Kluyveromyces lactis: one gene and its partner. The protein of the gene in region 1 interacts with the protein of each later gene in a pairwise test. Links are inferred from orthologs where the notes say so. Each region holds a gene or a part of one and is shown on either strand. Other genes may lie near its edges.

What was found.
Region 2: the proteins of DMC1 (region 1) and MEI5 interact in binary tests that used the Saccharomyces cerevisiae proteins (3 or more experiments, as listed by UniProt). The link is inferred for Kluyveromyces lactis from reciprocal best matches to the Saccharomyces cerevisiae genes DMC1 and MEI5.

The regions. Positions count from the first base shown.
Region 1 is NC_006042.1:1,096,634-1,099,951, reverse strand, and holds DMC1 (recombinase DMC1), read left to right. Parts: upstream 1-1,797; coding exon 1,798-2,787; downstream 2,788-3,318. Other genes in the region: ARX1 (putative hydrolase), read left to right, coding at 1-1,246; TMS1 (Tms1p), read right to left, coding at 2,914-3,318. UniProt on the Saccharomyces cerevisiae protein: Required for meiotic recombination, synaptonemal complex formation and cell cycle progression. Recruited to meiosis recombination hotspots by MEI5 and SAE3.
Region 2 is NC_006042.1:101,100-103,826, reverse strand, and holds MEI5 (Mei5p), read left to right. Parts: upstream 1-1,327; coding exon 1,328-1,984; downstream 1,985-2,727. Other genes in the region: mRNA-binding ribosome synthesis protein NOC2, read left to right, coding at 1-1,062; DNA-directed RNA polymerase III core subunit RET1, read right to left, coding at 2,068-2,727. UniProt on the Saccharomyces cerevisiae protein: Involved in meiotic DNA-break repair. Required for the recruitment of DCM1 to meiosis recombination hot spots.

The DNA of each region.
Region 1 (3,318 bases):
CACTTGTAACGTGTCCCACACCGTGGTCATTTACCCAACCGTTCAGGATGCCCAATCTGGAAAATTGCTACCTGAAGCTGCTTTGCTAGGTGGTAAAGCTGATGCTCTAGCTGCCACCCATATCGCTGTTGAGTCCGTCACTAACTTATTAGCTGCTGCAAACGATTTGACCAAACTTCCAGCTGATTTCAACGCTACGAAGGTCACTGGTTCCTTGATTAGGACCGTAGTTGACACCATTGCTCAATCTTATAATTGTTGCGTTGTGCCTGGTTCTCGTATCAGAAGAATCAAAAGATTCCTTTCTGGTCAAAACGAAAATATCATTGTCGAAAGAGACTTCAAAGGTGTCATTTGGACTGAGTCTCATCAGGAAGCTGCTATGCTTGCTAGAACCGTCAATGAAACTGCTGTTGATGTCAAGCGTAAGAACCCATTTATCACCGAAGATACCGTGGTCCCAACAGATGATTTTACCGTTGTCAAGGGTGAAGTTTACATGATCGATTTGAAGTTGGCTCCATTGCAAGGATTGGAGCCAGGTTTGATCACTTTACACACTGTCGATCAATTCTCCGGTAAATCTGAATCCTCTGATGTGGTGGCTAGACCAGGTGCCATCTGCCGTGATTTTTCAAAGAGCCATGTTCTAAAGTTAAGAGCTGCTAGACAAGTGTTGACCAGATTGGATAAACAAGGTGTATACCCTACCAAATTAGCTCATATCGCTGATTCTTTCCCATTGGACGTACAGGAGCCTGATTTCGAAACCATCAAGCAAGAAATCAAGCCATTCAGATTAGGTCTTTCTGAAATTTCTAACAACTACCTAACAATCGACAGAGATGTCACCATCGTAAAACACGTTCCTTGGGCTAAGATCTTGGATCTAACAAACCCATCCGGTGTGTCAAGTTATGACGCCATGGCAAAGAATAAAGGTTTATACCCAGGTTTCGAGCTTCCTCTACCTAAACTAGGTTTGTCCAACCTACAGTTGAAATCCTTGCTAAAAAAACACTCTACGCCAGTTCCTGTGGTCCGTCAATGTGTCACTGTAGCCATCTGTGATGAAGAGTTGCTAAGAATCAGCGGAAACCTAAAATCTAACTGGGTTCATTCTGTTTACTCTATGGATACTGCAAGCAATATCGTTGCAGGTATATTCAAACTGGCTCAATTGTCCGAGGATAAGAGATTTGGTTTGAAGATCAGAGAAACTCAACCATGGAAAATGAAATTCTAATTTATTCATTACCAGTATTAACTACCTTCTTTGATAGAACTACTTCAACAGATAACAAATTCTATTTCATACACAAACACCCTTTTCGCATCTGCACACAATAACTCTACATTGATACACCAGTTCATATTATATTCAATACTCGTTTGATTTCGGTAGCCCAAGAGTCTTGTTCTTATGAGTCTTTATTCTTACCAACCAATTGCAACAAAAACAATGTATAAATAGCAACTTCTAAGTATCTTGTAGATCTGTACACTAGCAAAATCATAATAGAACTCAAGCTCTCAACTTTGTCATTAGTTCTTCTACTATTAGTGTGTTTGCTTCGGAAGGATTATCAAAACGTTCAAAATGATGGCGGCTAATTAGATTTTAGTATAAAAAGGATTTGGAGTCAGAAACCAAATCAACAAACCCAACTACCAATGAATATGACATAGCGAGATATCTAGTGCACATAACTAGGAGCGAGAAGGTGATCCTAAAAACCAATAACTTTGCATTTCATTCTACTTGAAACGTCCCATTCCATTTCTATTTAAGCTGTCATGTCTACAGAGACAGAAACTAAAACCAATGTGGTCAATATTGATGAGTTACAAAACTTCGGAATTAACGCGTCTGATATAACTAAATTGAAGACTGCTGGTATATTTACCGTTAACACTTGTTTGTCGACGACCAGAAGGAATTTGTGTAAAGTTAGAGGGTTATCGGAAGTGAAGGTAGAAAAGATTAAAGAAGCTGCCAATAAAATCATCACCATTGGCTTTATTCCAGCAACTCTGCAATGGCAGATTCGTCAAGCAGTTATGTCTATCTCTACCGGGTCGAAACAATTCGATTCTGTACTAGGAGGAGGAATAATGACAATGTCCATAACTGAGGTGTTTGGGGAGTTTAGGTGCGGTAAGACTCAATTATCCCATACGTTATGCGTGACAGCTCAATTACCAAAAGAACTAAATGGACCTGAGGGTAAGGTTGCATATATTGATACAGAGGGTACTTTCAGACCAGAAAGAATCAAGCAGATAGCACAAGGGTATGATTTGGATCCCGAAGTGTGCCTTGAAAATATCTCGTACGCCAGGGCACTCAATAGTGAGCATCAGATGGAGTTACTTGAACAGCTTGGCGAGGAACTCTCTTCAGGAGAATATAGACTATTAATAGTAGACTCAATTATGGCCAATTTCAGAGTTGATTATTCAGGCCGTGGGGAATTGAACGAGCGTCAGCAAAAACTAAACCAACATCTTTCTAGATTGAATCGTATCGCTGAGGAGAACAATATCGCAGTTTTCATGACCAACCAAGTTCAAAGTGATCCCGGTGCTTCTGCCTTGTTTGCTAGTGCCGATGGTAGGAAACCTGTCGGAGGACATGTCTTAGCCCATGCAAGTGCGACAAGAATATTATTGAGAAAAGGTAGAGGTGACGAAAGGGTCGCGAAATTACAAGATTCGCCTGATATGCCGGAAAAGGAGTGCGTTTATGTCATTGGTGAGCGTGGAATAATGGATTCTGATGAATAAGCCACTATGGGTGGCTCGTAAGAAAGACATACTTTCTATCGATAGAACGTTTTTACGAACAGAATAGTACAACTCTATAAACAAGTGACACACATCCATTTCCCTTACCACTTCGATAGGTGTTTTCTAATAGTCATATTCAAATCTTTCTGGCATGACAATGGGTGCGAATAAGGTCCAGCCGTATAAACCATAACAAATCCAAGCACTTATGATTTTAACCCATGAATAAAAGTATGTCCTGCCAACAGGAATAAAATCTCCAACATCATCTTGTGTAACATTTATAGTCAATAGGATCACAATCCATTGCGTAGCTAAAAAGAAAATGAAATGAAACAACGAGTAATTGTATTTTGTTACATTGAATTCATCATCATCACCATCTTCCCTACCAGAATCATTGACATGCATTCTTTGCTGCTCAGCTTCATAATCAAGCAAGGCGGATTGGGGCAAAGCACCCTCCTCAACTGCTTGTTTGATCGCTTGCAACCTCAGTTGATTACGTGTCTCTCCTATCCCGGAGTA
Region 2 (2,727 bases), about 1.0 Mb from region 1:
TTAGAAGTTGTATTGAAGTCCACGTATTCTACTTTCATTAAAAGTTGTCGTAAAACTAACATCAGAAACATGCCTCTAATCAATTTCCAAAAGAACTCTGCTGCTGAACTTTTCGGTATTGATGACGTTATAAGTTATCAATCGGGTTTCGAATATATCAGACAACTAGCCATTCACTTGAGAAACAGTATCAATGCCACAACTAAGAGGTCCTCAAAGGTGGACCCATCAAGTGCTTACAAGATTGTATATAACTGGCAGTTCTGTCACTCTTTGGACTTCTGGTCTCGTGTTATATCCATCCAATGTAACCCAGAAAAGGAAAACGGCCACGAATCCCCTCTTAGACAATTGATTTACCCACTAGTCCAAGTTACCATTGGTGTCATTAGATTGATTCCAACAGCACAATTTTTCCCATTGAGATTTTATTTGATCAGATCCTTGATCAGATTATCTCAAAACACTGGTATCTTCATTCCAGTTTACCCATTATTATCTGAGATTCTCTCCTCTACTGCATTCACAAAGAAACCTAGAAAGTCAACGTTACCTGCATTTGACTTTGATCATAACATCAAGTGTACACAAGCATACTTGGGGACAAAAATATACCAAGACGGGCTAGCTGAGCAATTTGTAGATTTGCTAGGTGAGTACTTTGTTCTATACTCCAGAAGCGTTTCATTCCCAGAATTAACAACGCTTGCCGTTATCTCATTACGTCGTTATATCAAGAATTCTGAGAATGTAAAGTTTAACAAGATGTTGCAAAACGTGGTAGATAAAATCAACCAAAACGCTCAATTCATTACAAAGAAGAGATCAGATGTAGACTTCGGACCAAACAACAGAACAGAAGTAGAAAAATTCTTAAATGAAATATCGTGGAAAGATACTCCTCTTGGTTCCTGGGTTGCTATCCAAAATGAGGTTAAGGAAGAAAAGGCCAGACTCTTAAGAGAATCCTTGGAATCTGACGATGATGAAGAAGAAGAAAATATTTCTGACGGAGCCCAAGACATAGTAATGGATGATGCTGAATCTGAAGCAGATGAATAATCAAATGATTGTATGATAAGTTCAAACTTTCTTCAATTTTAAATTCATTGGTAATCCTATGTCTTCGACCATCTTATATTGGATTGCCTCCTTGTCAAAGACATCGGCGGTAAATTTCATGAAAATAGAAATTACATTATGTAAATTATTTTAAACATGTATACTCAACATTACATTCAGAATACAAAGCTCGGGAGTACAATCTGCGGTAGGCATAACTTGACCAAGTGGAATAATTCTTATACCAGTACTCATTACAGGCGTTATGTCGAATGTCATGAATTTTGAAGGTGATAGTGAAACAACCTTAGTTCAAGAGAATGATTCATTTAGTGATATCTTGCCCAAGTTATCTTGCAGAAACCCTGAAGAAAGATCTACGGGTAGTGTGTTACTTTTAAAGGAGATCCGGAGGTTAGAGAACGATCTTGATCGACAAATACGAGATCTTACGAAGAAAGAGTTTGCTTTGAAAAGGGCAGTGAAAATAATGCAAACTTACGACAACGAACTCAAGACTATCGAATTAATAAATAAATGGAGGTCTATATGTCAATGTGGGATGTCTTACATGTTGAATACCATATTGGTTAAAATTGATCGAATGGGCGGTTATCAAGAGTATAAGCGGAAAGAAATAGAGGCAAGAAAGCGCCAAGTTGAGTATCAATACGATGACGGCATTCAACAACAAATGGAAGAGATCTTGGAATCTCCGGACTTCTTTCATTTGCCAATTGAAGAAAAGGAAGAAATCAGGGAACGGATGGATGAGAAAGTGAGAGAAGCAGAAGAAATGAAACAGAACGAACTCCAGAAATTTGAGAATGAACTAAGGAAAGAAGATAATGATGAAATGACTTTGCAGGAGCTAGCGGCTAAACTAAAAGTTGACTATGATATGGTATATACTAATCAATAATGAAAATTCAAGTGAAAATGATGCTTTATAAGTAATACTGAATAAATAATGTTACTACTAGAATCGTCAGAAAATGCTTACAGTCAAGCTTCAAAGACATCGCCTAATTTCAATCTTGGTGCAATGTTCATCGCAAGCAATTCCTGGAATAAAAGTTTGGCTGCATAAGGAATAGTCATTTTGACAACATGTTCAGCGGTTTTACAGCTTGTACACCATCCACTATAACCCATCAAACCACATTTTTCACAAACATCGACTTCAAAGGCATCAGAACTTAACATTAATCTTTCCAACAATAGTTGTGAAGCACCGTATGCGATAACACAGTCACGTTCCATTTCACCCAATCTTAGACCACCATCTCTAGATCTACCTTCTGTTGGTTGACGCGTTAACACTGCCCTTGGACCTCTGGCTCTTGCGTGCATTTTGTCAAGAACCATATGCTTCAACTTTTGATAGTAGATTGGACCAAAGAAAATGTAAGCTTGTAAACATTCACCAGTAATACCAGAATAAAGCATGTCCTTACCGGAATAGTTGAAACCATTATCGACTAAAATCTTTGACATGTCTTCTAACTTAGATCCACCGAAACAGGTACCGTATTCAAGGGTACCATTCAAGACACCAGCTTTACCTGATATCAACTCAATCATTTTTCCAACGGTCATACGAGATGGGAAACCATGTGGGTTCATGATAATATCTGGTACTACACCTTGATCGTTGAAAGGAAG